Linked DNA regions of Rhinolophus ferrumequinum. The protein of the gene in region 2 interacts with the protein of the main gene of each other region in a pairwise test. Links are inferred from orthologs where the notes say so. Each region holds a gene or a part of one and is shown on either strand. Other genes may lie near its edges.

Region 1 (11,293 bases), on a different chromosome or scaffold from region 2:
TCATACAAGGGCCAGTCAGCACGTGAAGGGGGATCTCTCATCCTTGGAGCCAGCACTCAGCTGGGGCGGAGCCCGGGCCACTCCAGTCTTTTCCCCTCTCCTCTCACCTTATTTTACTCCCCACTTCAGTTTTTCATTTTTTTTAAGCTTTTTTTTTTTTTTAATTTTAATTGGGGAATACTGGGAAACAGTGTTCTTGGCCCATCAGCTCCAAGTCGTGTCCTTCAATCTAGTTATGGAGGGCGCAGCTCGCTGGTCCATGTGGGAATCGAATTGGCTCGCGCTCTAACCAACTGACCCATCTGGTTGCCCCCCCACTCCAATTTTGACGGTTTAAAAATTTTAAGCAGAGTCTATGTCTGAAGGCATCTAATACTTGGCAAATATGTTGTGAAAAACTGTCACTTCTTAAATCATCTTCCAAAAATGTTTATCTTTTCTTTGCACATATTTAAAAGGTCTCCATCTCAAACACTATGTACAATTTTTATTACAGTAGCTTCAATTTTTCTTGGTATAAATTACCCTTCATGTTGGTTGCGTGGCTATAAAAAATATTAAATATATTTGAATTAATGGGTACCTTTTTAACTGCTGGTTTCTGTTCCTACTTAGACAAATAAACATGACTTAAGAAATATGTTTATACATATTTTTCTATTTTCCCACTTAATATTTTCTATCTAAACTTTATAAATTGGGCATATGTAAATATTAACATAGTTTCGATAACTTACTGATCTCATTTTAAAGCAAAAGTCATGTCTGTGATACCACTAACAAAACTGTGCTATTTATTACTTGTTAGTTAACATAAAGTACTTTTTTCAATTGTAAACAGTTGCACAACAGATCTAAGTTCAACCTTAAGTTAATGGCCCATAACCTAGAAATGTTTAAATCCGATTTACATCCTGTACCGAAGCTACAATCTGAGCTTGTGACATGCTCAGAATACAGGAAAAATGTTATTATAAATACAGCATTATGCTTTCACTGCGAAATAAAACAGAGACTGACAGTCATGCCCAGTTGCCCAGTAGTATGAAACGCTAGGTCTGAAGGCACGTACATTCTAACGAAGATCGGATTGGAAGAGGTATTTGAAATGTAAAGTAGAAAATGTTATTATGAAAGTTAATTATCTAACAAATTGAAAACTATAATACACTATGACTAATAGTCATGAACAAATATGTCAACAGTAACAATATTTTTCAATACTTTTCCCTCAATGTAAAAAGTTATTTTAATACATTTATAACGTACAATTTAAAAAAAATCTTAATATCGCCACTCAACTACAGAATTACTTAGGAACTTATCCTGCCTTCTCCTTTCTCAAAGTTATTTTTAAATTGTATCAATTAAATTTGGAATTCACCATTCAAAATTTAAAATGCCGTCTACTGTATAATTTATATTAAAACTTCTTCCAAAGTTCTGTGTATAAATTGAAAAACATTCAATATGACTGGTTGCTTATTAAAATAATTATTAATACCCTGCAAACATTTTATTCTCCCTCCAAAATCCAAAAAAACAAAGATAATAGGAGTACAATTGTTTCCCCCCAATTTAGTATTAAGAAATCAGGATTGCAACTGAAACGAGTTTGTTTTTCTGTGCTGGATCAGCAGCTCCAAGTGGATAATGCAAACACTGAATTTCTCTAGCTCTTTCCAATAAAAGGCTGGCACACTCAGTCTGTTCAATATACCCCTATAAAGGGACAGAAAACAGTAAAATATACAATGAGGTTTCCTAGGAAAAGTAAAGATGAAACAGCCTCTTAAGACATCAAGAATGAGTTTATTGAGCTAGAATCTACATTCAGTTGACACTCAAACAACTTGGGTGAATTGAAAACTCCACATAAAAGTGGACCTGCGAAGTTCAAACCCATGTTATTCAACGGTCAACTGTATGTTGTTAAATAGTGAAGAACATTAAAACTCTCCTTTTCCATGGGAAAATCTTGTAATGTCCACATCCTTTTGAGATTAATAAACGTTTCCATTATATGTTGAATATGTTTTGACTTTGAGTCTTTATACCAAGCATTCACTCACAATATTCTAAATAGATTAAAAATTTTGAGTGTCAGAAAAGTATAGTCCATATCAATCAGGGCTACAAAAACCTCGAGAGAGTAGCTCCCAAACACTCATTACAGTTTACTATAGTAACCACATAAATGGAAATTACTGAGCTGTTTGCTCCTGAAATAACACATACTTGAAAAAGAACTAGAATGACAAAATTTCCCTTCTAACTACAAGATAACTAAAGATCTTCAATATAGATCTCTAAAGCCAGGTCACCTGTACCGTGAACAATTGACAGAAAAAGTTACAAATTTACTAGATTAAAACGCTAAGAAGCAGATTGCAAACTAACTTATATTGTTTAAATTTAAAAAAAAACCACAGCTCTGTGCATTTATGTATGTAAATGCAAGATGTTAGCAGTAGGAAAATAGGGGATTTTCACTTTGTATCATTTCTAAGTTGTTTCAAATCTTGGTAACAAAAATGCATAACATTTTTAATTTTAAAAAGTGATATTAACAGCACTAAATGCAGTTTCACAGTATTCTAAAGGATAAAATACATATTTACATTTGTTAAAAAAATAAAGGGAGAGGAAAAGTTTAGCCTTCCTCATTTCTTTTATTACTACTGTATGTATCTAAATAGATTTAAGAGGAAAAAATAGAAAATACAAAATGTATATCATATCACAAGTCACACTCATGTTTACATAGGCTCATAAACTTACTGGTCTACCAAGAGGTCTTGAGATAGCATTTTAAATAATTTTCAACATCTGTATTATAGTGACTTGATTTTCTGATTCTCAAGTGATATTGCTGGACTACACTTTTCACAGATAAAGGTAAACATTACCTAGTTGCAGGAGTCAAAGCCCCAATACTTAAATCATTTGTTCTCTCAGGGTTGGGAGGCACAATTCTTTTTAATAATTTTTTTCCAATTACAGTTGACATTCAATATTATATTAGTTTCAGGTGTACAGCATAGGGGTTAGACATTTATATAACTAATTGCCCCCATAAGTCTAGTACCCACCTGGCACCATACATAGTGATTACAATATTATTGACTATATTCCCTATGCTGTACTTTACATCGCCCTGACTACTTTTGTAACTGCCAATTTGTGGGATGCACAATTTTTATCAAGCAAAGAACTAGCCCATAAAGTCCAGTCGAATACACTGCCAAACAATGGCTGCAGTGGTGGAACTGCACAGCTTAATCTTAACACTCTTCTCAGGCAAACCTCAGGACTACAGCCTTTAGAAAAACAGGAAACACAGGTGGAGTCTTCCTGACTCTACCACTGATTCAGTTCTTGTGAGAAACGAACTCTTAAGCACCCTCCATCCCTATATGCAGATAAAATAGTACACCAAGTTTTACGCTAGGCGTTCTGACTAAACAAGGAGTGGGAGAACTTTGACTATCCTTGTTGAAAAGGTTAAAGAAAGCAGCCTGAGTTAATGACAAGTTACACATCCCATCAACACTAGATGCGTTATTGAAAAATGACGCCGGCATTCTACTGGAAGCTACAATATGGGGATCGGGTGAAGGCATAGGGCTTGGAAGGCGCCGGGGACCCCGCGTTCACCCTGCCGCATTCCGCACGCGGCCTACATCAGAACCTGACTCCGTGGTCACCCAGGCCTTCCCTCCATCACAGAGGCCCGAACCTCTCACCCCGGCGATTCTTCACATCCGGGGCTCTGCCACCACTCCCACGGGCCGGGTGCGCCCTACCTCCCCCACTCTCCCTAAGAGGGGCTCTTCTCCCATCACGCCTCCTTTTGCTCCCGACTTGAGTCTTGCAGAGGTTGGGCTGGAGAAGGGAGACGGTCCCTGCTAGCTCTAGATTGGAGAATCCCGAAGTAGCGAACCCAGTTTTTGCCTCACACACCACCCAGCAATATCCTGCAACTCTGCCCAACTTGTAAGGGCTCAATTTCGATACCCCTACTCCAAGCCTGCACACCCACCCCCCCAGAATGGACCGGGAAAGGCCAGAAGGGACGTGACAACCCCCGCCCCATCCTCGTCCTCTTTTCCTATCTTATTCCGTCACAAGGACCCCCAACTCAACCGAACTTTTCCCAGAGCCCCCTGCCCTTTCTATAACAGGTTCCAGTGACCCCTTTCTCAGAGCGGAGGTCGTGGGGCGGCCGAGGAGGGGTGGCCTCCGTGAACCCATTTTCCTTCCCCTCCCGTCCACCACGCCCACCCAGGGGCGCCCAGGTGCCAGGTGGGGCGCGCGTACCGGGTGGCTGTGGGACGCCCGCAGGGCTGTCCGGCTGCTGCGCGCCGGGGGCCGGGAGTCCCTTGCGTTCCTTCTGAGACTCCCTCCGGCCACTGCCCGCGCCGGGTCTGTGGCCCGAGGCCCCGGCCGGACTTCTGCCGCCGCGACTGCCGACCCCAACCGCCGCTTCATCGCGCCTCTTGCGCTGCAGTTGCTGCTGGCGCCGGCGCTCGGCCTCGCGCAGGATGTCGAACGGGTCCGACTCGTCGTCCAGCAGCTGGTGGAAGCGGTTGGCCACAACGCAGCCGAAACTCTCCTGCATCGCAGCGCCTACGGCGGCCGCGGCTACGGGGCTCCCCAGAGCGCCCTTCATGCCGCGGCGGCCACTGCGGGCCCACCGCGGGAGCCCACGCAAGCGAGTCTCAGCGAAGCCGGCAGCGAGGCCCCATCCCACCCGCGGTTGCAGCCCTCCCTGCCCTGCCGGCTCCCCACCCTCCTGGCGCCAGCCCCCGCGCCGCCGCCCGACAGCCAATCAGAGCATGCGGACACGCCTCTTTTCCTAGCCGGCACGCCTGGAAGCCCAATCAGTTGCAGGCTGCTGTCACGTCACCCGACCTCTATGCCCCTCCCCCAACTCACAAGGAGGGGCGGAGCCCAAGGGGCGGGGCTACTGGGAGGAGCAACGAGTCCTCTGGTCCAGGCTGGTTGGCCAGCGTGGGTAGGTCACGGTCATTATCTGTGTTTTCTCTAAATCTGGATCCACATTCGTGATGGTCACTCCTCTTTTAAGTTTATACATTCATTTAACCATTGAACAACTATATATTGAGCACTTACTATGTGCCAGGCATATTGTAGAAGATACTTGCTTCGTGTTTTCATGGATCTTACAGAAAAGTGTCCTGAAGGAAGGGCACAGAGTTCTTTATGAGATAGCGAAGGAACCTGACCTAATTAGGAAGCTTCTCCCAGTTAAGCTGAGATCTGAAGGAAGATAAGGAGCAGGAGCAATGGCAAGTGCAGAAGTCTTAAGATCGGGTGTAGCACAACCCACTCACAGGCTCCAAGAAAACCACCGAACTGGATTGCGAAGAGTTGGGTGAGGGCCTTATTTGATCTTTCTTCTAGGATCAGTGGGAGGAAAACATTAAACGTGAGCATGTATTTGAAAAGGCTACTGTGGCTGCAATGTGAAGGACTTGAAGGGAGGTCAAAAGGGATGCAGGGAGACCAGTAGAAGGTGGTTGCAGAGCTCCAGGGAAGAGCTGATGACAGTAACTTGGACTAGAATGGTGGCAGTGGAGGTGAAGAGATAGTACATTTAAGAGCTATTTTGCAGGTTTTATCAACAGGACTTGGTGATGCACTAGATATGGATGAAGAGGAGGAAAATGAGGAGAGTTATGAGAACTCTTATTTTTCTGGCTGGTGCGAATGGAATGAATGGTGGTGCTATTCACAGAGAATTAGAGCACTAGAAGAGACCGCTTTGATGAGAATCATGAGTTCAGTCTTGGAGATGTTGAGGTTTGAGGTTTTGTTTTTCTTTTTTCCTTTTGAGATATTCAATTGAGGTCTTGAGCTCAGAACTTGTTTCCCCAGAACCTGTATTTTGTTAGGGTATCAGGTGTCTTCATGCCTCAGGGGAATCTGGGCCCCCTTCCAGCTTCAACGGTGATTAATCTTAAATCGTGCATTGTAATTCCATTTTCTTGCCAATGATTGGTGTAGGAATAGGCTTGTGGTGCAAATCTGGCAGAACAGATCTCAGGGGATGTATTCTAGAGCGTTTCCGGGAACTTTTTTCTTGTACCTAAAAAGGGATGGGAAGGAATCTGCCATCTTCCCACATCTATTCTTTGGTCCTTTTTATGTGAGGAGGACCTGATGCTTCGAATTTCTGTCCCTTAATGTGACTATAAGGATGACAGAGCAGAGGGATGGAGAAAACCTAGGTTCTTGATGTTGAGCTGCTGACTTACCCCACTCGGGAACCTCCCTACCTCAGACTCTTATTATGTAAGATGATAAACACCATTATTGTTTAAGCTACGCTTAGTGCTTGCTTCTTGCATTCAGAAGCATCCTGTTAGAAGCATCTTACTGAGGTGCGTCATTGCCAGCTTTTACTTTAATAGCAAATGGAAAAGGAACCCTTAATCCTAACTGCTGCCGGGCCGTGTTTTACTCACTTATTCAATGTCTGTCTGTCATTCCTGAGGAGGACAGGGATGGTGGCTATCTTATTCATTGCAATTTATATTCCCATTGCTTAGCATTCTAGGTGGCTGCACAGCAGGTTCTCAAATATGTGCTGACTATCTGAAGATTTTAAGATATATGATCATCTCCTGGGAGTCAGCAGAGGTTTGTGATTAAAAGCCTATTTTTTTACTCAAAAGAATTGAGAGCAGATGTTTGAACAAGAACTTGTATCTGAATGTTTATAACAGCACTGCTCACAATAGCCACAAGGTGGGAAAAACCCCAAATGGACATCAACTGATGAATACATAAACAAAATGTGGTACAATGGATTCATATTTGGCGCTAAACAAAGAATGAAGTGTTTACTGATACCTGCCACAATATGGATGAACCTTGAAAACATTATGCTAAGTGAAAGAAGACAGACACAAATATTGTATGATGCCATTTACATGAACTGTCCAGAAGAGGCAAATCCATAGAGACAGAAAGCAGATTAGTGGTTACAGGGGTTCAGGGGAAAAGGGAATGGGGAGTGAGTGACTGCTTAATGGGCATGAGGTTGCCTTTTGGGGTGATGAAAATTTTCTGGAACTATATAGTGGTGATGGTTGCACACAATGCGAATGTACTAAATACTACTGAATTGTACACTTTAAAATAATAATTAAAATAGTAAATTTTGTGTATTTTACCGCAGTTTTAAAAATAAACCATATATTTTAGAGTTAGACCATGATTTGAATCCTGGCTCAGCCACTAATTAACTTCATGCCCGTGGACATGTTCCTTATTTCTGCGCCCCAGTTTTCTCTTCTGTAAAATGAAAAAACTAATGGCACCTGCTTCAGAGGGTTATTGTGACGACTGGGTCAGATAATGCATATGTAGTGTTCACCACCATGGCACAGAGTAAATCCTCAGTAAAAGTCATTATCAACATTACTATCATCCTCATCATTTTGAATCAGACCTAAGACTAGGTAGAGTTACAACAAGGCCTCATCATTATGATGTAAATGAAGTTTTCAGACTCTTCATGCACCAGAATCACCAGGTGCACCAAAGACCATAATTTGAGAAGCACTGCTTCAAGCCAAGGTTGTCTCTGGCATCTTAAACTGCCACAACACCAAGGAACCATTACCACTTAAGAAGGGCGTGTCATCTCCCTACTGGATATCTGGAGACATCTCACTCCCCCCATTTTCCTCCTATCCTTTCTGACAGCCAACTATAGCAAGTTCTTAAGGCATGCCTTATGAGTACTCCACCCTAATTTCCAAACATAACTGCCTAAAACAATTGTAAATCAACCAATCCTGGTTGCTTCAGGATTAAGAACACCTTTAGAACCACTGGAATAGAGATGAGTAGCCTCTAACAGGTATTAGGTCTTATGGGGCTATTGATTAATGTTGAACTTACTGATGGTAACTTATTAAGCAGCCTCACATTTTTTTCCTGACCATTTTTCTGCTGGGAGATTGCATCCATAAATGCAATCTTAAAATATAACTTCACCATGTTAGCATAAGTTACTTGCAGCATTGTGTTTAATGTGATCAGTTAATAGACTGATCTTCCTAATAATCCAAGATCTAAAATTAACTCGAGTAATTATAATACCAAATGGGAAAAAATGAAAACCACACATGCACATCCATATAGCTTATATAATCAGGCATACCAAAAAAGCAGTGAGATGTGGATGCTAAATAATACCACCAGCCCTTCCACAGTCGTTATTTATTGGCACCAGTGGAAATGCAGTGAAGTTTAACTACATACAAAATGTAAGTTTCCTTGAATTGCTTAATATATGAATTCCATTAGGAATAATAAAATAAAATACACTGAAATCTTCTAGATGGACTTAAATGTAGCTTTATTACTTTTAATTACATGCAGGGAGCAACACGTGGGTGAGGACCAAGGGGCCAGTCAGGCTGTAAAAGGTATGAGTTTTTGTGAATCACCAGAGGTTGCATTCCATATACTGTTTTTTGCAACTGAATTACTGTTATCTCTTTGCTTATGTTTTCTCCTCCATAAAATTAGGATGATTATAATCAGTCCTGGGCTCCTCATATGTTTGATGGGAAGATAAAACCAAAGAAGGAAATTGAAAAAGTAAAAAAAAATTGCACTTCTCACAATTGTTTCTACTTGCTTAATATATGCAAAAACAAAAATGTTTTTCCTACATCTAAAAGGATCTCATCTGTCCTTTATGTCAGCTGAGTCAATTGTGATAAGATCAATGAAAATATAGTTTTCGGTTTAGTTATTATAAGGTTGATACGTGAATTCAAATTCAGTTTCCCACAGCAAATGAATAAAGCAAGTTCATAATCTCAAAGTTAGGGGTTGTAGAACCATAAGCCTTTAACAACCAAGATACTATAGGAAAACTTCTAGCAAGCCCAAATCCATTTATGATGACCAAAACCAGAATATTTAAATCTGCACCCAGCCTACTACCATTTGTCATTGAGGTTCTTTCCCACTTTTTCTGGTGGTGAGATGTTACTGGTTAGCACAGTGCTTTGTATCCTCAGAGTACTGTGCCAACAGAACAGTTTTTTTTATTTTCTCAAAGTTCCTAGTATCAACATTTTGGTCTTGGTTATAACTTTCATCAAGGCTGAATAAAATAATTTGGAATTTAGAACTTCTTAGTTCCACATTTATTCTGGATTCTTCTAGTTGTGAGCACCAGAAAACTCACCTGGAAAAAGTAAACAAAGAATGTTGTTGGCTCAAGAAAAAAGTCCAAAAATGAATCAGGCGTTGCTGGATTGGGGATAAACCATATCCGGACCTGATCTCTCTCTGCCCCTCCCCCCGCCAGCTTTATTTTCTTCTGTATTTGCTTCCCTTTTACCGGTTTCCCACCACAGATGGTCCCAGTAGCTCCGTGTTTAAAGGCTTACAGTTGTAAGCCCAGCAGGAAAAGAAAGAAGACTTTTCTGTCAACACTGGCACAGGTGTCCCAGAATTGAATCACAGGTGTGTCTGGGGTCACGTGTACACCTTGAACTAGTTGCTATAGTGAACAGTATTTAATTCTCTGATCAACCAAGCCCAGATCACCAGGCCAAGCTGTAGTCTGATTGAGTCAACCCCCTGAACCCTGGGACTGAGTGGAAGGGGGGTGGTTCCCCAGAAAATAAGTTTTCCAATATCAGCAGGTAGGAATAGAGGGCTGGGGAGGTAACACACAGAATTCCCTGATTAGCATGAGTGTGTTATTGGTACACCTCTTGCAACAGTGGACTGTTTGTTGTGCTCTGCATTATAATTCTTCCTCCTTATTTCTCTTCCTGAAGGCCAGAAATTATATCTAATTCATTTGGTATCCCGTCCTTCCCTTTTCCTGGTCTCATCTCCAGTGCCTTTTATTCAGGAAATATTTGTTGTGTTAATGAATGAGTTTCTTGTTTGTATACATAGGCTCCTGATAAATAATTGTGCATGTATTAAAAAATAAAGTAAAAATGCAACAGATAATGTATGAAAATTAATTAATACATGTTATATGAATCAATGTGATATCATTTCTTTTTTTCTGAAAGTTTATTATTATTCTACACATTTACTAACAATCATAGCTGAATTTTATACAGTGTTTGCTTGGTGCTAACCATTTTTCTAAGCATTATCTGTTCTCTTTCTAAACATTATCTGTTCATTTAACCCCTACAACAACTGAGGAGATAGATGTATCTGCTGTCTCCTTTATTTATTTATTATTATTTTTTAATATTTCTTTTTTTTTAATTTTATTGGGGAATATTGGGGAACAGTGTGTTTCCCCATGGCCCATCAGCTCCAAGTCGTTGTCCTTCAATCTAGTTGTGGAGGGCCCAGCTCACTGGCCCATGGCCCATGGGAATTGAACCGACAACCTTGTTCAGAGCTCGCACTATGACCAACCGAGCCATCCGGCCACCCCTGCTGTCTCCATTTTACAGTGAGATGAGTGCCTCAGTAAGTGGTAGAGCTGGGATCATGAATGCAGGCAGTCTGGCTTGAGTCTGCACTCCTAACCTTTACGCTCCTGCTAAGCATTGAGCTAACAGCTTGGATGTGAGCAGGACATCATCTCTCTCCTTAAAGAGCTAAGTAAGCAGGGGGACAATGTAATTTTGCAGATAAATGCTACAAGGGAGCTGAGTGGGTGTCCTTAATTATATCACTAATAGAAATTATATGCGGGAGTGCTCACTATGGTGCTAGTGTGAGGAAATGATATACTTAAACACCCCCACCCCCCAACTGTTTTGAGGGCTAAAAGCTATATTGTGTTGTCGTGCTGAAGACCCTGCTTGCTGCGCCATTTGTCGTATGGGGCGGCCTGCGGGGTCTCTGCTCCCGCTCCCCACATAAGAACGCAGGATATGGCTAGGCCAAAAAGGAACACCCACGGAGCCATAGATAGGGGAGTCATACCGCTATGTTCTTTCTGGCGACCTGGCGAGACACACGCAGTAGTAGCCACACGACCCGCAGTCCGCCACTCACTTTTCTGCTTGCCAACCAACCAATCAACGCAGCCCCGCATTTATATCAGTAGCCAATTGGCTAACTGGTTACAGCTGATGGCCAACCAATCAAGTTGATGGTCATTCACTACCCGAGCCAGCTCCTTCCCATGCAAGGTGAGAGCCTGGAAACTGCTCTCTGGGACTCTGTCCTCACACTTCACCCCTCTAGGATCTTGCCTCACAATCTACGCGACAAGCATAGAAAAAAGCATTGGCCAATTCCACTATATAGTGAT
Region 2 (10,490 bases):
TACATCATTATATTGCTATAGTTTTCTACGACTGGCAGCGCAGGTTTGTTTACACCAGCATCACCACACACACGTGAGTGGTGCACTGCACTAGGACATTACAGTGACTACAACGTCACCAGGCGATGGGAATTCCTCAGCTCCATTATCGTCTCATGGGACCACGTCATATATGCAGTCCGTTGTTGACCGAAACATTATGCGGCTCATGACCATATAAAGGCACAGTTGCATGTCATAACCAGGTCTCACACACTGAGGTACATCTCGTCAAGGAGTGCTACATCGCCTTAGAAAGATTTCTCAGGTAAATTAAGTGACAAAGTCAAGATGGGCATTATATCAGCATGATCCTATTTATTTTGAATAACTTTCAGAAATTTCTGTAGTGATATATAGCCGAGTATTAATAATGGTTACCTCCACAGGGTAGATAGCAAAGAGACTTTCTTTTCAGTTTACACTGTCCTGTATATGCTTGAATTTTCTACTCCGAGCATGTATCTTGTAACAAATACATACAATATATATGTAGTTTTAACTAATCCTGGTCTCTCCCAGACCCTCCCAGGAGCGTGTGGCTAACATCAGTTTGAATCATTCCCTGGCCCTCCATCTCCTCCTTCCTGGCCTAGGCAGAGTCAGTGGTCCCTTCCTGGGTCCTCCTAGGACTTGGTTCATCCTTCTGTTAACAACATTGAACACCGTGGATCACAAATGTATTGGTCTGGTGTTCTCTAGACAGAGAACTCCTTGAGGCAGGGTCCGTGCTGACTGACATATGCCTGATCTGTGATAGAGCTTAGGTCTTGGAACACCGTGCAACTTATAAAGTGCTGTCATACGTTTTTGTACATTCTGCTTTAGGGCCCAGAGTCAAACTTCTGTTTGAGCCTGCAGTGTGACAGCAGGACTCCCTGTCCTCTGGAGGAGGAGGGGTGTGGCCACGTCTGGGGCGAGGGGGACAGTAGTATCTGAGTGTACTCACCCTGTTCTTTTAGTGCAGCTAACTCCAAGGCCATAAACAGAGGGTGTGGAATCTCCTTTCTCTGTGACCCTGGGATCAAAACCTGCACAGAAAGATTGCTGTTTGTTCTAGAGCGCCATAGAGTGCCACAAGGTCTGGCAAAAAAGACATAGGCTTTGGAGTCAGTATACCAGGAACCCCCATCACTGTCAAGCCATTAAACCCCTTGGGACCCTAGTTTTCTCCTTTGCTTAATAGTATAATGTATACTGCACAGAATTGTAAAGGGTAAATGAGATAATATGCTTGACCAGAAATGTTAGTTTCTTCCTTCTTGGTTCTTGTGTAATATACTTTCAACTTTGCTCTGGAGAACCAAAGGTCTGGCCTATGGCAAGAATCAGACCGGTTTTTATTCTTTGGTTAAAGAGGATCAGGAATATAGAGGAGGTGGGAAGGTTGTCTCCATGGAACATCCCCTTCCAGTTCCCTCTGAGCTGCTTGTCTCTTCATCCCTCACAGACCTCCACATCTCTGCCATTGTGGGCATGCCCTTGCTCAGGGTGATGCTCTTGAGTAAGATAACCTGGATTGGGCCCTGTGTTTGCTTCCCTGCCAGCTGTTGCCCTGTTTGATCAAGAGACCTTGGAAGTATCACAGATTCAGAACCCAAGATTTCCATGTTTTTCAACTGTAAATAAAGTGTTTTGGTTTTGGGGTTTTGTATGTGTATTGTTTTTAAGTGGTTGTAATGGTAGCTCCATCTCCTCACGCCTTAGCTCCTGCTGCAAGGCCAGCGTGGACCACAGCCAAGCCCTTGCTATGTATAGTGGAATGCCTCAGATTTGCGAGCCGTTATAGCAGTCCCCTCGTAGGTTCAAGTTGATGGAGCAAAGAAGGCAAAGCCCCAGGGCCTCAGAATGATGTATTCCAAGGATGTTCCCAGTAGGTTCAGTTTAGTTAGTTCTGGAGCCTAACTTGGGATGTTTTTGGATGGGAGACCATTTGGTAGAATGTGTCTCGATCACGACAAAGTGGGAATAGTGTAGTCCAAAATCTTGGTTTGAATCTGGGGTCATTTTTTTTAAAACAGTTGCGGTCTTGAGAAGTTCACTGTCCCATTCAGAGCCCCAGTATCCTCATCTATAAAACGTGGACAATAATACCTGTATACTACGTAGTACTGTTGAAAGGGTCAAATAAGAGGATGGACATGAGGGTAACTTGTAAACAGTAATATGCCTTGGAAAATGTTTTGAAAGGAATAACCCAACGTAAAAAGTTCCCTTGAGTATAATATTCAAGAGGTATAGAGAGTTCCCTAGTGTTCCTTTCATGAGACAATTTCTATGTCCTCCCATTTCTCCTTTCTCCTGGCTGATGGACACTTGACTCATAACTACTAGCAGCAGGCTACTGCAGGCAGCAGAGATAGCAGAGAGCTGAATTCTATGAAAATAGAACCTGGCTTAAAAGTGTCGTTTCAGTGTATTGGGAGACAAGGAAGACGGTGAGCTGTACAAGAGCCTTATAGTATAGATATTTGCAACTCTGTAGCTAAGTAAATATGGTTCAGAGGGGACGCACTGAGAACTGATCAAGGAACCAAACAGGATGGAATTAAAGATAGGAAGGAGGATGAGCAGCTGGGATTTGAGTTGACCTTCTTGTGATGGGCCGTTCGGTTGAATTCAGTTACACTTGGCACCCTTCATTCTATGCCAGTCTCTGTCCTGGACACTGGAACTGCAAAGATAAGTCAGATGTGGCCCATGCTTGTGACAGGAGATAGGCACAGTTTCAATACAACGTGATGAGTATTAGAATGTGAGCCCTAATGAGGACAGGGATTTTGGGCAGGTTTGTTTTTCATTTTTCGTTTGTGGTTTTTTTTTTGTTTTTTTTTTTTTTTTTACTGTGTTCTCAGCACCTAGAAGAGGTAAGCACCTAGTACCTAGTAACTGCTTAATAACATTTGTTGTGTGAATGGTAATGGTATGTACAAGATGCTATGGGAGCAGAGTGGCGAGACCAGGACTAAGAGAAGAGGTAACATTTGAGGTAAATATTGCCAGATTGGCTGGAATTAGCCAGGAGATAAGGGAGGGGGGACTTTCCAGGAAGAGGGAACTGTGTTCCTGGGCCAGTCTGTCAGAGATGGGGACAAAGGTAAAAGTGATTTTGCAAAGGAGATTCTTGAAATGAACCCCCGTGCCTTTCACATCACTTTTAAAGATAGGCACTGGAGTTGTCTGAACTGTGGTCACCATGCTGGGCAGTGTGCACTCAGGGTAGCAGGGGGACTAGCAGAACTGTGGAGCAGAGAGCGCCCACCTTGGAACAGGAGATGCATTTTGACATAAACCGTTTATCCTGCAGTGCTTCAGTACCATCTCTGTAGTGGTAGAGAGGTGGCTACAAGGAAAGTAGTAGGAAAGAGCTCATCTTTATGTCCACTTAGCAGGAGACAGCTTAGTGAAGTAATTGGATGAGTAACTAATGATACTTTTAAGTAACATTATAAAGACAAATGTTACAGAATTTATATTTCTGCGTGAGAAGCCATCTCTTCAAAGTAGTTATTAATACATAGGGAAGGTTGCTCACTTATTCTCAGGTGCTGCGGTCATTGTCTTTCTAACTCCACTTTGGGAAAAAGCTTGCAAACCTATAGGGGCACACTGTCCTCAGTGTTGGCAGAACTGCCTTTTGCAGTTTCTTCTTAGCAGTCAAAAGTCATCTGGAGCTGGCACAGATGAATAGCAGCTCTAGATTCCACCTAATTCTCTCCATACACATTGTTGCTGCAAGCCTTTTTCACCTGGATTACTGGCACAGTTGCGCAGATGACCTCTCTGCTGCCTGTACCTTCTCCAATCCCTTTTCTACACCATCTCATTCATTTAACAAATTTATTAAGATACTGTGTGTCAGGTATTATGCTAGGTGCTCCAGGAATTCACAGTCTGGCTGGGAAGATTTAATTAATGCAATTCAGTGTTAGGATAGGAGAGTCTTGTCACCTAATAACATCTGAGGCAAGACCTAAAGGATAGAGAGTTAAGCCTTAAGGCAAAGGAGAAAGGAAAGAGGAAGTGTTACCAGTAGAGGGAATAGTATGTGATAGCCCAACAGCTAAAATCACCTGGAAGGTTGGGCAAAGAAGTGAAAGACAAGTGGGGAGTAAGTTTAGAGAAGTCATACGGAGTCCTGTAAACCACATTAAGGCGTTTGGACAATCCTAAGGGTAGTGGTAGTCACTGAAAGATTTTAGGTAAGACAGTGTCATGATCAGATGTTTTCAAAAGAACACTCTGGATGTTGTGGTGGAGAATATTAGAATAAGAAAGCGGTAGAGAAACCAACTAGGAGTGCTCTAAGCCAGGCCTCAGCAAACTACAGTTGGCAGGCCCTCTCACTGTTTTTCAATGGCATATAGCTAAGAATAAGAATGGTTTTTAAATGTTTAAACAGTTGAAACAGTCTAAAGAATATTTTATGACATGTAAAAATTATATGAATTTCAAATTTTAGTGTCCATAAAGTTTGGAACAGGGGAACCTGTTTACTGATTGTGGCTGCTTACAGGCTCTGAGGTTGATTAGTTGAGACAGAATCGTCTGGCCTGCAAAGCTTAAAGTACATATTATTTGGTCCTTACAGAAAGTTTGCCTGCTTCTGCTCTAAGTAATAGTTGATAATGGCCTACAGTAGTGTAGGGCAGTAGGAATGACGGGATTAGAGAGTTTTAAGGACTGATTCACTGAATGCCTTTTGGAAGTGGAATGACAGGCCTAGATGATGGGCGGGGGGGGGGGGGGGGGGGGGGGGGGGGGGGGGGGGGGGCGGGGGGTTAAGGACTGTTGCACTAGCCTGTTTTCCCTACTACTTCCATTTTTGCCCCCCTACAACCCATTCTCCACTTAGCAGCCATTAAAAAAATGATGACACTCCCTACTTACAACTCTAAATTACCCTTATCACTATTGCCCTTAGGATAATTTCAATAAAATCCTAATTTGACCCAGCCTACCTCTATAACACAATGTCTTCATTCTAGTCTTATTGGACTACTTTACTTGCATTTCCCCAGACCCAATCTCTTCTTGCCTCTCGGCCTTGCATAAACTTCCACGTGCCTGGAGTCAGCACTCCGCCTTCTTCTACCTTTACTCCCAAATTGCTTTGTGCTTTGGCAACGCTGTGGGTTGCGAGTTTAAATTTCTGTTTTCATCCTAGACTGATTTAAGGCAGAATCTGATGTACTAGTCCATCCCCAGCAGATAGTAGATGCTTACTAAACAACGAATGAAGGACTTCAGCTACAGCATGTGGCAGCCTCAAGTATAGATCGGTTGTGAAACATGGATAGTAATCCTTATTTCATGTGACTGTTGTAAGAATAAAATGCAAGAAAAATGCCTAGCTTGCTCAATCAACGTGATTTGAGATTAAATCTGATTTGTGGCCAATAGAAAAAGACCTGAATATTTAACAAGACAATCCTTACATGCTTGGTAATATGGATGGGAAGACAGGTCCCCATGGAGTACGCCCCCGCCCTCCACCCTAAAAATGCCGAGCAGGGCAGCCTGAGAAGCCTGCGTGGTCCCTCGAGGGTGACTGCTCCGCCGAAAACGGACACTCTTTGAATGCATGCGTTTAAGTCTGGTCCAGAAACACTCGGCTGTGCCACGAGTAGCACGGCCATTGTAGAATGCAGGCTCTATCCACAGTAACTGAGGTCACAAGGACCATATTTGGAGCAGGAAGGGAGGGAGGCCGCCTTTCCACATGGAGCTAAGGTGTCGACGGGGCCCCTTTCAAGCCCCCGGTTCCGGCCGGGTAATCCTGGCTCAAGCGTTTGGCCGTGCCTTTCCTACCACCAGGATACAATCCTGGATGTATGGCCCGCCTGCCCAGGCTGCAGCCTAGTGAAAGTCACGTTCTCTCTGCCCGTCCTCGGTACTCTATGGTTCTCGTGGTGACTCTACTCTAATTCTAGTTCCGGTCTCTATGGCGGCGGCGGCAGAGGCAGGAACGGTTGTAGGTCGGCCAAATTAGCCGCCTAAGAGCCAATGAAAGTGCAGGAGTGATAAAGTATTAGCCAATAGAAGTCAGGAATTGGGGTCAGGTGGCAAGATTGACAGCACTCCTGGCCAGTGAACGATGCTTAGGGCGGGTCGATCTCAAGGCTTATCCCGCCCGTCCCGCCATTCTCGCTAGTTCGATCGGTAGCGGGAGCGGAGAGCGGACCCCAGAGAGCCCTGAGCAGCCCCACCGCCGCCGCCGGCCTAGTTACCATCACACCCCGGGAGGAGCCGCAGCTGCCGCAGCCGGCCCCAGTCACCATCACCGCAACCATGAGCAGCGAGGCCGAGACCCAGCAGCCGCCCGCCGCCCCCCCCGCCGCCCCCGCCCTCAGCGCTGCCGACACCAAGCCCGGCACCACGGGCAGCGGCGCAGGGAGCGGCGGCCCGGGCGGCCTTACATCGGCGGCGCCCGCCGGCGGGGACAAGAAGGTCATCGGTAAGGGCCGGAAAGGGGCGGGGGTTGGGCCGTAGGAAAGCCTGGCGGTGGAACCGTTACCCGAAGCGGGGCGAGCCGGCGGGCGCGCGGCCGGCGGGGACCGACTCGGCAGCGCGGCTGCCCCTCCCCCAGGCCCGCGCCTTCGCGGACGCCGGCTCGCGTGCCCGGCAGGCGCGCACGCGCCAGCTCCCGCGCCCCTGTAGACCCCGCGCAGCCGCGCGCCCCTCCCCCCGTGCAGCCGCGCGTAGTTGACCGCGTGTGCAGCAGGGTCTTTCCCCTCCCCGCTGGCCGCGTGCGCCGGGGCCCGCACGCCGTTGTTTCGTCCCCCCCACCCTTTCCCTTCCGCGTGTACCCTGAGGGCGCGGCGAGTCGCCTACGCAGGCCGGAGTGGGCTGGGCTGCTTCCCCTTCCCTCACGTGCTCTCCGCCCGGCAGCCGCGCCCGCCGCCGGCTGTCTACGCGCGCACCCAGCTTGGGCCTGCGACCCTGGCCCTGGTGCCTTGAGCTCACCCACGTGGACCGCGGAGGCGCGGTGGGGGCCAGAGCGTGGCCGGGCGAGCTGGCTCTGAAGAGAAAGGCTGTCAGGTGGCCGCGGGGAAACGCTCGAGGGACCGGATGCTGAAGCGTGGCGGTTTTAAAAAAGGATGTCTGGTAATCGTGAGTTTTTTTTTTTCTCCTTCCAGCAACGAAGGTTTTGGGAACAGTAAAATGGTTCAATGTAAGAAACGGATATGGTTTCATCAACAGGTGAGCTGACCGTCCTACCTCTTGCACGTTCTGCTCGCAGCTGCAGGCTGTGCGGATTTGGGATTGTTGAAGCATGCGTAGGTTGCTCCCTCTGGTGTGGTAGTGGGTTTTTGTTTTCCTGGATGACTGAAGAAATTCGTGCATCTAGAGATTATCTTTGTTTTGCATCTAAATATTAATGTGAAGCTAACTTAAAAGGCTTGTGATGGTACAAAGCAATGTAAAAGGCGGGCGGATTAAGCGAGCCGTCTCCTAACGGGGCAGACTGAGGAAACTAAGATCTAGTGTGATGCCGTTAGGCTCGGTGCCCACCACGTTTTTATCCTTGTCATTTTACACGTTGTTGAAATTGGTATTTAAAATGTGACCCACTGATGGCATATAGATCCGTGATGACATTGTTCTTCGTATTGGAAGGCAAAGTGACAGACTGCGTTTTTAGGCGTAACGCGTGGAGTTGTTTGTAATAGTGGTGGTAAGGTGCAGTGTATGCACAGGACTCGCCGTGGTCTCCCTGTGAGGCGGGCATCATTTTCAAGATGGCTGCCAAGGCTAGTGCGGTGGCATGGGTGTAGAGGCACTGTGCGTGCTGATGGTGATACGGGCCTTACAGGTGTGACACGGGCATCTCAGCGCTCTCTTACATGCTTGCTTTAGAAGGTATTAAACAACTAGAGGTTTAAAAGAACACTTACCAAGTAAGAAGTAATACCGAATGTGAAATGGACACTACTGCAGGGAAACTAAATGGGCAAGCTCAAGCTTAAAGAGAGACAGACTTGTTTGAAAACCCGTTTATTGTATGGGGCGGGGGCAAAAGAGATTGGAAGCATCTGATGGTCTGTTTTTACAGTATTTGCAGTTGGGGGGGGACATTTTGTTTCTTGCAAAATCTTCAGGAATTTTCCATCTGTTCTTACACTGTCTGCCTTCCTGACAGGCCAAAGCTACATTTTCCATCAGTTTTGTGATGATGGGTTACTACTAGTGAGGAAGGGAATGCTTTGGTGCTTGTATTTGAGCGCTTTTTAGTTGATTGATCTCTGAATTTGTTAGCATTTAAGTTAGTATTTCCATCTTACTGGCTTAACCCTTAAAATAGTGGGTTTTGAATTGAAGTGTGCTTAACTTTGGAAGGGTGTTAAAATGCAAATTCTTCAGCTCTTCCTTCCCGGTTTGGATTCATTGGGGTGATCTGGGGTACATTTTTAACAAGAATTTCAGGTGGTCGTGGCTTGTGGGTCATACCTTGAAAAACATTGCTTTTAACCTTGACACAATGTAATCATAGGATATCTTGGGTAGGAAGGAATGTAATTTGCAGTCTTTTCAGTGGTTAGAAGGTAGTCTGTGTGTGCTTTAAAAATTGTAGCATGTGCCTTCTCTCTTGCTGTATTTTGTTAAATGGACATAGATTGTGATATTTTTGAAGCGGACAATTGATAACCCAATATGAAAGAGTAGTTCTTTACATACTCTAAATTTTTATGAGATGTCATTACTTGAATATCTCTGTTCTGATTTGCAATCAACTCAACTGGTCATCTTCCAGGACAAGTTAAATGTAAATTGGCTTTTTATGATCCTTTGTTTGGACTGTCCAGGCCTCAACTATTTTGTCAAATTAACTGGTTCAAACGTGCTTTATGTTTCTAAAGAGGTCATTCCAATGATTCTGAGACTTTGAGAAAGACACTAAAATCTGACTGCAGTTACGTCCAGGAGAGGTTTGCCTTAAATGTCTTAAAGAACTATACTTCTGGGAGTTAGCAGTTCAGGGTTCACTATATAGCCAAGGCTGGAGACACCTGGGGGCGGGGTTGACACACACGTGCTGTTTATCTATAAAGGAGTAGATGCAGTGTTTGGGATTATTGCCATGACTTTAATTTTATCTCTGGGGTTCTATGATTATATGTTCTAGGTTCTTAAGCTTTTTATAATTAAAATAAGGCTTTTCTGTAAATTTTTTGCCTTTAAAGAAATGTATTTTCGTTGTAAACATTTGTCAGTCTAAATTATTGTGTATTATAATCATTGGTACAACTTTGTTAGAATTACTTTTTAAAGGGTTTTTTCCTTATGATCTTAATTATATAAAAGATGGTAAATAAGAATATAGAGCTTTTTTTTTTTTTTTTTAATTGGGGAAGGGGGAACAGGACTTTATTGGGGAACAGTGTGTGCTTCCAGGCCTGTTTTTCCACGTCAAGTTGTTGTCCTTTCAGTCTTAGTTGTGGAGGACGCAGCTCAGCTCCAGGTCTAGTTGCCGTTGCTAGTTGCAGGGGGCACAGCCCACCATCCCTTGCGGGAGTTGAACCAGCAACCTTGTGGTTGAGAGGATGCACTCCAACTAAATGAGCCATCCAGGAGCTCAGCAGCAGCTCAGCTCATGGTGCATGGTGCCGTGTTCAATCTTAGTTGCAGGGGGCGGAGCCCACCATCCCTTGAGGGAGTTGAGGAATCCAACTGGCAACCTTGTGGTTGAGAGCCCACTGGCCCATGTGGGAATCGAACCGGCAGCCTTTGGAGTTAGGAGCATGGAGCTCTAACCGCCTGAGCCACCCGGCCAGCCCTAGAACTTTTTTTTAAACAGTAAAATTTTTTACTTTATTTTGTTAGGCTGTGAAATCTAGGAATTCTGAGAAATTCATTGTTATTCTTTCTTTGTGTGTTGAATCTGTGAAAAAATTCTATTATGTGATTAGAGGGGTTTATTAGCCCCTAAAAGTTATTTTGCATTTTATTATGAAAAATTTCATTCAAAACTGTTGAAAGTACTATTGAAGGATGATACATGAAAGATGCCACAGAGGTCAGTGGCTTCAGGATTTGAATCTCTGCTTTTTTAAACGTGATGTTGTCTTTTGCTTCCAGCTGTTGTGGATTAATCCATGCTCACCAAACTAAAAAGGTTGGCATAAATCAGTAACAATTTATTTGTCAATGAGGCATGCATCTTTTGATCAGAATAGGAATACTTTTCTGTTCTCCAGAGTACTTAAAATGCTAAATTAATTAATCATTCTAAGTTTTGTGGGTAGGTAAGGAATTTGGAGGCAAGAGAATTGAATAAGCATAGGTCACAAACTGGGTGACTTAGTAGCAAAATCTTCCCCTAGGTGTTATGTTTGGACAGTAGTAGTGTCTTAAAAAGAATTGGAATTACTGACATTTAAAAACTTAGGAGGTAACACCAAAAATACCCAGATTAAAGACCTGAATTTTAGCTTTAAGGCATATAGTCC
Region 3 (10,231 bases), on a different chromosome or scaffold from region 2:
GATGGAGAAAATGTCACTCTCATCCTCTTCTTCTTGCCCAACCTGATGAGACACAATAGTTGGGGAAACTGAAGGGTTTTCCAGGACAAGCCAGACTCATGCAAAGAAAAGGACTATTTACAGGTTAAAACTCACCAGACTTTAACCTTGCTCCCTGACTCCCCATACCTCTACTCCCCTGCTTTGCTGGCCTAAACTAGAAAAGGGACCAGTAAGATCTCTGGAGGCCCTCCTTGTCCCCAGGGATGCCAAGGTGCTAGGACTCCATCCTACATACCTCATCTTCTGGGTAGTGACAGTCGAGCACAAGGGTCTTCTTGCCACCACTCTTTATTACTTCAACCACGAAATTGGGAGTGGATGTCAATTCAGGCTGGGGAAACAAGAACAAGTCAGCACATGCCATTGTTGGCAGGGGTGGGTTGGATGCCTGGACCAAAGGTCTCAGACAATTCAGGGGGTTTGGCAGCCACCATTATCAGGATATTATTTAGCCATTGTTAAAGTCTCATTCTACAGTGTTTCTAAATAAGGAGCCTAGAATCTTTATTTAACATGGGGTATTAAAGCCACATACTGGCTTATTCAGGAGACTGGGATGAATTCTTCCTATTGATCTTCTAAAGACTATGTTTTAGAGGGCAGAGTACCCTATATTTAGAACAGTCACCTCTATTAGCACCCTAAATAATATACTAGGTTTAGAATTAAGAGATCTGAATTCCAGCCCCAGCTATGTGCCAATTAACTGAGGTCTTGATCGTTCCTTATTCTTCCTGGGCCTTTTTCTCCATAAACTGCGAAGCTGGCCTAAAGCTCTAAGATCTCTTTCCAACTGACTATTTCAGGATCTTCCTATGGCCCAGGACCAAAGGCCGGTGCACCTGGCTAACTGGCAGTCCTATGTATGAATAATCACAGTCACTCGCCCTTTGATGGTGAGCCATCCAATGTCAAAGAGATCCTAGTTAGGGTAGCTGAGACAGCAACACAGCAGGGATCTGTGCTAGTTCATGAGACAATACAGATGCCTGCTTAGTCAGAAAGTCTGGAGACCCTGTGGCCCTCATACCAGCTGGTTTCTAGGCTAGACACACCGCTTCCTAAAATGTTTGAAGTCTGGTCACCATCCAGGTCCAACCAACAGGGCCAGCAACATAAGCAAAGACGTTGCCAAAATCTCTGGTGTTAAATTAAATCTGATGCCCCTGGCTTTGCTACTTTGGTTAAGTGGCTGGTGTTTTTATTACCAGCCTGTGATGTGTTAGAACATCCCTCACTTGGCAACACTCCAAATGATAATCTCTGATTATCAAACACCTTCCCATTGTGGAAGGGTTAAAACCGTTTCCATTCCTTTCCATTTGGAGAACACAGGCCAAACTATAAATCCGAAGCTTGCAGATGGTAATTTACTCAGTCCCTGGGAAAGAAAAGGGGCCATACATTATCCCTGGGGCCAAAGGAAACTGCTGCTCTGCAAGTAAAAGTCCCAAGGATGGTTATCCTTTGCATTCTCCTCTCTTAATTTCTCTAGCATTAGAGAAATTAAACAAAAACACTGCTCCTCTAAGCCCCGGGAACAGCCTATCAGAATTCTGAGGTAAAGGCTGGTTATAGGGTTACAAGCTTACCTCCTGTTCTTCAACCTTCTGCCCTTGGGATGGCTGTTCCTCCCCATCATATGTGGGTGGGATACTATTGTTAATGTTGAAAGTGACAGTGATCCTAGAAAGGCAAAAGAAAACACATCAGAAAGAATATAGTTCTCTTTTTTTTCAGTTACAGTTGACATTCAATACTAGTTTCAGGTGTACAGCATGGTTAGACATGTATATAATTTATGAAGTGTTCCCCTATAAGTCTAGGAACCACCTGGCACCATACATCGTTATTACAATATTGGCTATATATATGCTATGCTGTACTTACGTCCCTATGACTATTTTGTAACTGCCAATTTGTACTGCTTCTTAATCCCTTCACCGTTTTCACCCAGCTCCTCAACCAGTTCCCCCGTCTGGACAGGGTAGTTTTAACTGAGTAGTTAAATAAGTATGGAAACCTGCTAGTTAAAAATATGTATTGAAACAAAGTCTCTAACCTAGCTGTCTTTACATGTGAATTATTTACAGACCTTCCAGAAAAGCCTGGGTGCCTACATCTTACCTAAGATGGATTCAGCAGGTCTCAAGTGTGCCTACTATGTGCCATCTGCTGGAAGTCAAACTAACAGGCCCCAGTTTATCTCAGCTAAAACGAGCATGTGTGATCAGGCCAGCATCCCAGGGCTCACTGCCATCTTGTATCCACTGGTGGTCTCATGGCCACAGCCAGCTGACATTGCTCACTGTTGTCCTTCCAGGGCATCTTCCAGCGGCAATGAGCAGCTGAGAAGCGGGTGGGATGGAATAGATGTCTCTTTTAAAAAGCTTTTTTTTTCTCCATCAGAAAATCTGCCCCTTGGAGGAAAGGAAGGAGCACTGGAGGGTTGCATCAGCTAAGGACCAAGAGCAGCCCTGGCCCCAGGAAGGGGAAGCCTCACAAAGAACAATAAGCTGCAGTACAGTCCTTCTTCAGAGTACTTGTGGGAAGTTTTATAACCACAAAGCAGGCCAGAAACACCAATTAATGAACAATTTCAAGGTACAAGAATCCACCTAACAAATCACGTTCCAAAGTTTGAGTCAAAATTAGAAGTGATGTGAGATTTGAAACACTGCTGGGCTGCCCAACTCCAGCAGGCATTATGTGCACACAACAGCACACTGTAAACGTGTGGCCTCGGGAGCTGTGCCAACCAGCTGCCTTGCTAGGAAGCCGCTTTCCCATAAGAACAATGACGGTCTGAGGTTCAGCCACAAAATCTGTCTGATCTGCAATGTGATGACCAAGTTGAGCTCCTAGAACAGGGGTGTCCAAACTTTTTTTAATGTTTTTCACCAAGGGCCATATTCGGTAAAATACACAAACAAACAGCCGGGCCACTTACTCGAGGTGAAGTACGTATTGCCTCACTTGGTTTATTTAAGTAAACTAAATATACTTTTTGGAATGTCCTGCGGGCCAATTAACAATGGATTGTGGACCACAGTTGACCGATGGGCCGCAGTTTTGACACCCGTCTTAGAACATAATTTATAATGCCCCCAAACTGGCCATGACTCACCCTAGGAAAACGGTTTAGGTGAAAATTACAGAATTGACCTACTTGTATATGTGGGGAAAAACACAATATGCCACTACGCCAAAAAAAAAAAAAAAAAGCCAGAACCCTACTTCAGAAACATATCTAGACATCCACTCGAAACGGATCATAAAAAGAGCTAAGCTAGGTCAAAAGCTCCCCACCCTTCTAATGACAACCATTTACTACACTGGAATCTCATCCTGTTCCATATGAGTTGCATGTCTTGCATTTTCATTTACTGTAAACATCAGGAAGCAGGGGCCTTGTTTTACTCAGAGCCTGTAGTGTAGTGAATCAAGCACTGTAAACCTGCGATCTAACTGATGCTGTCATTACGATAGGAATTTCTGAATGTGCATGCCTAGAGGCAGGGCATGGCCTCCGCCACCAGTAGGGGTTTACTGAATGAGCTGTTTCTGCTGGGCACCGCTACATGCTTTTGTGCTACCTCCTTACTGTCTCCTTAGTAACCAGCCCACAGGAAATTTGTGTGCAATGAATGAACTACCAGGAACTTAGGAAATTATCCAAATGAATCCTTCTGTCTCTTGGAAACTATGTATCAAAGTACCTGCCTTAACTCAAGCTGTTCTGGGGATGACCTGGGGCAGGGACATGGGTTTAGGCCCCTGGAGCCCACCATACTTACTTTTCTCCAGCAACATTCCGCACTAATTTGGCTTCTGTCCCATTCACTTCCAGCTCCCAACCTCCAGACATCTTGGGGAGAGACTTATGCTTCTGTATCTTCTTTTCCTCCTTAATTTCATCACTCAGGAATTCAACAAAAGCTTTGTCTCCTACAACGAAAATCCATTAAAATACAGAAAAAGAAAAGCCCATCAGTTTAAAACGTACAAATGACCCGGGTTACTCTAGCCAGAAATCTGGACTTGGACTGTTAATAATCATTCTCTGGGAACTTAGTCCAACTCACATCCACTAAGCCTCAGTGTCCTTCTCTGTAAAAATGCTGTAATACTGTCAGTGGGAAGCCGAGCTATATTCTGGAAAAGTGATTTGCAACAACGAACTCATTATCATTACCACGTTTCACACAAAGCACGAGTTCCCAATTACCTTCTCCCACTCGCCAAGTCATAACCACGTTACTTTCAACCACAACCTTGGGCCTTCCTTAAATTCCATTTTTGAGACTAAGTTTAAAGTCGGTTTCCAGGATTTAATTGTACATCTCACCCTAAAATGAAACACTTAGCGGACAGGAAAAAGGGGAAATGTGATCACACGTGGGTTTCATCCTCTGGTTGCCCAACACTGGGAAAACGTTTCGGACCTCGCGGGGCCGCTCTGGGCGGCCCACTCGTGGTCTACACTTCCCGGACCCCCACCCCATTCAGGAAATCTACCCCTCACGGCCCCGGCCCACGTGCGCGAACTCACCTTCCGTGTGCAGCGCGCCGCAGCCGCAGGAGCAGGGTCTGCGAGGCCGCAGGAGGCTGGGCAGTCGCGCAGATCCCGAGCGCACGCTGAGGAACCCAAAGGGCCGGGCGCACGGCCGGGGCGCGGGCTGCAGCAGCGGCCTGAGCGGCGGGAAGGGCGCGGCGGCGCGGAGGCCGGCGACGGCGGAGCCCAAGGCTCGGGGCACGCAGCGCAGCAGAGGAAGCATCGCGAAAGCTGCAGCGGACACGTGCGGCTGAGGACGACTCGGGCCAAGGCGTAACCGGACCGAGCTCACCGCCGGAAGTCCCGCCCTCGACCAGGAAACGCTTCCGCAGCGTCGCTTTGCGGGTCAAACGCGGTGGGTAGGACTGCCCCCTCTGCTTGGGGGCGGGGGGCGGCGCGTTCCTGAGCAGCGTCCGGGGGAGGCCTCAAATCCGGTAGCTAACTTTTTATCTGATCAGCAGGCCTGAGTCTGGTGTGCAGCTTTCTGTTTGATTCGCCAGCATCACTTGTCTCCAGCAGCTGCTTACACTTTCCAAATTTCCATCTACTGGTCTGAAAGCACGCCAGGCTGTGACTTCGCAGAACGCACTCTTGCCACCTCCAACAGCTTACAAAGACTAGCCTTCAAGGTCATCTCCTTTAAGATGCCTTCCTGTAACCTCCTCCTCTCTTCCGTGATAGGAACTCACGCCGGCGCATGCCCCGCCGCTACCCTTCAGTCTTTTCTCAGGAGAAACCTCCTGGCACTGCTGGTTTACCTGGCAGCCTCCCCTCACCCCCACCGGACTAGGAGTACCCGAAGGGCAGGATCCCTGGTTAATTCCTGCCACCTTCCCTCTCCATACCCTCCAACCTTAACCTTGCTCTCAGATTCTGATGGGACATTATTTTGGGGGGTGCAAGAAGCCATGGCTTACGTCAGATTTAGGTTAAGAACCGATGTTCCTACTTTAACAGGACACACAGGATATATAAGGTACCAAAAAAGTGAGTCTTCCCCAATTAGTGGCAAAGTTAAGATGAACAATATATTCTAAACAGCATTCTGTAAAGTGAAAGAAGACTCAAGATAGAAGCCATACACACCATGTACAAGATTCACTTTTAATGGATGTAAATCATGTGCAAATTTGAGCATTATATACAAGAACTGATGTTTTTATAGAGCTGTGTCTATTTGAACAAGACCAGATTCTCAAAATACAACACAAACCAGAATCAATTTGATTTTTCTGGTTTCTTTTTCTGCAGGTTATAATATTTTGATCAAATATAATCAAATCCTTGCTCCCCCACAGATGCAGTGTTCCTTTACATGCTCAAGATGCCTGGCCACGGTTCCAAGCAGTTCTTGATAGCTGGATTAAATGTATGTATCATGGTACATAAAAAGTTTTACCCACAGAGCAAAAACTTGTCTCCATTCTGGCATCGTTTTACAACCAGCAGAAATGCAACGTTAAGTAAGGGTTCTTAACAAGGACCGGCTGTTGGCAGTTCTTTCCCATAATGAAGTCTGTTCTCAGTGCCCTGGATGTTCCAGGCTCCATCGTTACTAGAAGACAGCTGAGGCATGCCAGTTGCTTGAAGATGCTTGTGAGAGCTAGTGATTCGCGCAGATATGGGTTTCACAGTTTAGAAGAGGTGTCACACCATCGTAAATTTGACGAATGGAAAAAGTAGCTCAAGATGATATTGCAACATTACTGTGAAACATTTAACTTTCTTAAGAAAGTTTAAGTTTAAAATGTGCTGTCCCCTGCAGCTCAATATAAATAACCATTTATTTCTTTGTTGTAATTTGTGGAGTCAGAATGGGTTTTCTAATCTGATTTAATCCCTGAGCAGCTATGTTAAAAATTAACTTTTTAAAAAGCCCAATAAAAAACTACTGTATTAAAACTCTACCAGAATGTTACAATGATAAACATATTTCTGTACAGAAACATTAAAGCTACTTAGAAGCTATTTACATTTATTTAGAAGGTATTTATCCCTATTCCTGCTCAGAAAAGAATTTATATTTCCAGAAACTCTTTAGGTACTTAAGTTGGACACAAATTATTCTAAGTTTTATTTGCCCCAGAGAACACCTCTCCATAGAGAATTGGCTGAGGAACATGATAAATCAGCCCACTCCCTATTTTTTACCAGCATGATGAATGTTTTATTAAAAATATTTTCTTTTACCCAGTCAGGCTAAACATCCTAGGCCTCTATTAAATAAATGAGAAAAACACACTTTAAAAACCTTTTGCAACAGTAAAAACAAGTCAATCTGAGGAAGAGCCAGCTAAGTCTAAGCATTCAATAAGACAGGGTATATAGGATCTGTGGAATCCTCTTTAGCCTAAACGTAACTGTTCCTAATATAATTAAATCACAAGTGCCCATACAGCCCTGAACACTAGATGAAAGCTTGACTTCTCAGGGCCACGGCTACTGCTCGAAAGCCTGAGCCAGGCTTAACATACACAAGCATGAACAGATGAGACCCAAAATGAGCTCCAGCAGGCTATGGTCTTGGAGAAGAGTTCAATGGATCCAGAGTGAAGAGACCATCCATTGTCGCTGAAGAGTCTCTCAGTTTAGCCCCCTGCCTATAAACTGCATGGTTCACTTTAAGTAATGACCAAAATACTGCACACATGTGTTTAGACCAATTAAGCACAATAAAAGGGCTAAGTCTTGGATTCTTCTAGGGCAAAACATTATCAGGGGAAAAATCATTTGCTTTCGATAATTAAACAGCCAAGAAGAACCTTTAGTGTCTTTTCCTTTCTCAAAATGAGAACAGAAAGACTGTGAAGACCTAATTCCCTCTGAGAAAAGTAGAAACAGGGTTAGAGAGGAGTGACTGGCACGGTTAGGAAGTAGCAAAGGCAAGTTGTCCCCAAGTCCCAAAGAAGAAAAAGAGATCATAGAAAATAAATAAGATCTAAGAATATAAACACCAGATGAGGTGGATGGGACGAGCTGCGCTAATGCTGTCTGGGTTCTCACTGACCCTTCGTCTCTCCCCTCCACCCACCCCAATAGCTGAGCAGGGGCTCTGACAGGAAAGAAATAGTTGAAGTATAGCACGGAGCCATTCCTTATGCTCACATATTTACATGGACCCAGTGACAGAGAAAATGGCAACTGGCTATGCTGGAAGCCATCACGATTTAAAAAATACAAAGCAACCCTCACCTGGGAAACTTCCACGGGTCCTGAAAGCACGGATGGGGACATGTGCCACAGAGGCACCACGGGCAAGGGGGCACCGCTCAGGAACCTGCGAGCTCTCCTGTACTGTTGTTCTCTGCTTGGAGGCAGGAGTCCACACACTGGGCAGGAGGCTCAACAGCGGCGGCCAGCCCACAGGTAAGAGGCAACAGCCCCTCCCTCCTGAAATTTCTGCAGATGCCAATCTCCGATGTTTTCTATTTAAAAACTTCATACAGCTAGACATTAAAATAGATCGAAGGACAACATCAGAGCTCTGTGACCGCCTATGGTCCCCTCCCAGAAAGTCCCCCTTAGTGACGAGAACTCGGGATTCTGTTGTACTCCATTCACATTATGTAAAAAGGAATAATACCTCATGCACGTTCACTGCGCGCCAGGCACAGCGCTGATGTGAAATGAAAGGGATACTTTCATTTTCTCTAAACCTCATGACACCAACCTTACAAGTAGTATTATTACCCCCACGTGGCAGATGAGGAAACTGAGGCTCAGAAGTTAACTACATCGCCCAGCAAGAACCGAAAGCATAATTCCGACATCTCAAAGGTATAAATGGTAGGTAGATGTCTACACGGTTCCGTCCTAAGAGGTTAAACAAAGATGCTTGCAAGCTCCTGGAGCCGGGCACGGCCCGCTGCATTAGAACCAGCCGCTTCCCCAGGCGCCACGCTGGAAGCCAGGGGCGAGGACAGGACGGCTGCGGTCCCAGCTCCAGGTCCCAGCTCCAGGCCCCAGCAGCGCCGCCAGCGGCTCGGCGGCTCAGTTTCTGGCGGTTCTCAGCTTCCGGCGGAAGTACTCGGGGGCGGCGTCACACAGCCACTGGGCGTCCACCACGCAGAGGTCCCGCATGTAGCACTTGTTGGTGCGCAGCAGCTCCGTGTACACCACGCAGGCGGGCTTACAGTGGAAGAGGACGGACGAGGGGTGGATGGCCACCGGCTGGTGGGTGTCGGTGGTGGCGTAGGTGCCGTCCAGCTGCAGCTCCGCGCTGCTCATGAAGAGGCTGTGAGCCAGGCAGCGGCGGACGCTCTCCATGTCTCCTCGGCACGACACGGTGGGCATCGACATCTGTTTCAGGAGGAAGCGAGAAGTGGAAGAGACCCCAAACAGATACCGCTCAGCACGGCACGGTATTCGGAACACCTGTAGCTAAAAGGCAGCCCCCACTGCAAGCCTGACAAGGTGGATGCTGCCATTCGGCGGGGTTCCTCACCTGCCTCCGCCATCAGCAGGGCGAGGAAGGGCCGGGTTGAAGGAGAGTGGACTGAAAATAGGAAAATCGCAGCCTGGGAGAGTGCGGGCCAAGAGGGTCTCGAGGTGCCAGACCACGGACAGGTTATGAGCCAGTCCTCAGCCCCCCACGGAAACGTCCAGGACGTCCCGGGAAGGAAAGGCCCTTCCCTCTGACCACTTCCTTCCTCATCTCCTCACTCCGACCCATTTCATACACTGCCGCCACATTCATCTTCCTCTAGCGCAACTCGAACCACTCCTCATCCACTCAAACACCTTCCGCGTCCCTCCCGCTCTGGCAACGCAAGGCAAGCTGCCCACTGCGAAGCCGTGAATGAGGCCGCCTCAACACGCGGAGGTCCTCCGCAATCAACTGCCTTCTCCCCAGGCAGAGGGCCTTCGCCGGCCACTCCTCAGACAGACGCCCCTCAGCCCCACAGTGGAGGTGTCAGCCGTCAGTCAGTGTCCTGAGCAGGTCGTGTCACCTTACACCCCAGGTCACAGCTGAACCGACCAGTGGCAGGCACTTGCCTGACCCACGCTGGGCGAGCTTCTCTCTTCCAGGCATTTGGAATCTGAACATGGGAAATCTGACCAAGCCCGTTAGTCTCCTGAGTGAAAGGCTGGGGCAAGGAGTCTGAGGTAGAAGGTGAGAAGGGGGAAGGAGGTATGCAGAGAGCAGCCAACTAGAGGCCATGGCTCCAGACATAGAGAAAGCTGCCCTGGCTCCTGACAGCCTTTTCTGGTTCTTCATTCCAGTCCCTGAAGGCTGGATTATTTCCTGCCCATTGGTTCCCAGAGACACCTCTTTATCCCCTACCCACCTTTTCCCTTTAAGGTGGCTCAAGGGGTTCTGTTCTTGGATGAAGACACTATCGCCTCATCTGTCAGGATAAGCTCAGTGCCACCACCTCCAGGAAGCCCAGAGTCCTACAGCTACGTCGCGTTCTCACCTTCCAGACTGCCAGCTCCACCCTCCCTGGCTGTGAGATTTGGGACAAATTACTTAACTTCCTTAGGCTCTAGTTTCCTCATCTGTAAAATGGGAGAAATAACAGAATCAACCTTATAGGAGTGAAGTGAGGATATCAAGTAAGGCAATACATGAAAAGTGTTTAGGGTGCCGTATTTCATAAACAAAGGCAATTATCATTATCGGCTCCTCACATC

What was found.
Region 1: the proteins of YBX1 (region 2) and HABP4 interact in a two-hybrid assay, tested with the Homo sapiens proteins (2 studies listed by BioGRID and IntAct). The link is inferred for Rhinolophus ferrumequinum from reciprocal best matches to the Homo sapiens genes YBX1 and HABP4.
Region 3: the proteins of YBX1 (region 2) and C1QBP interact in binary tests that used the Homo sapiens proteins (3 or more experiments, as listed by UniProt). The link is inferred for Rhinolophus ferrumequinum from reciprocal best matches to the Homo sapiens genes YBX1 and C1QBP.

Annotation. Positions count from the first base shown.
Region 1 is NC_046295.1:8,722,142-8,733,434, reverse strand, and holds the start of HABP4 (intracellular hyaluronan-binding protein 4), read right to left. Parts: upstream 4,782-11,293; 5' UTR 4,673-4,781; coding exon 4,321-4,672; intron 1-4,320. UniProt on the Homo sapiens protein: Ribosome-binding protein that promotes ribosome hibernation, a process during which ribosomes are stabilized in an inactive state and preserved from proteasomal degradation.
Region 2 is NC_046292.1:30,051,855-30,062,344, forward strand, and holds the start of YBX1 (Y-box-binding protein 1), read left to right. Parts: upstream 1-6,187; 5' UTR 6,188-6,330; coding exon 6,331-6,496; intron 6,497-7,178; coding exon 7,179-7,242; intron 7,243-10,490. UniProt on the Homo sapiens protein: DNA- and RNA-binding protein involved in various processes, such as translational repression, RNA stabilization, mRNA splicing, DNA repair and transcription regulation.
Region 3 is NC_046304.1:12,969,653-12,979,883, forward strand, and holds the start of C1QBP (complement component 1 Q subcomponent-binding protein, mitochondrial), read right to left. Parts: upstream 4,907-10,231; 5' UTR 4,821-4,906; coding exon 4,595-4,820; intron 3,991-4,594; coding exon 3,840-3,990; intron 3,267-3,839; exon of another isoform or gene 2,665-3,266; coding exon of another isoform or gene 2,452-2,664; intron 1,729-2,451; coding exon 1,635-1,728; intron 374-1,634; coding exon 278-373; intron 43-277; coding exon 1-42. Other genes in the region: RPAIN (RPA-interacting protein), read left to right, coding at 2,452-2,664; ATP-dependent RNA helicase DHX33, read right to left, coding at 8,588-8,896.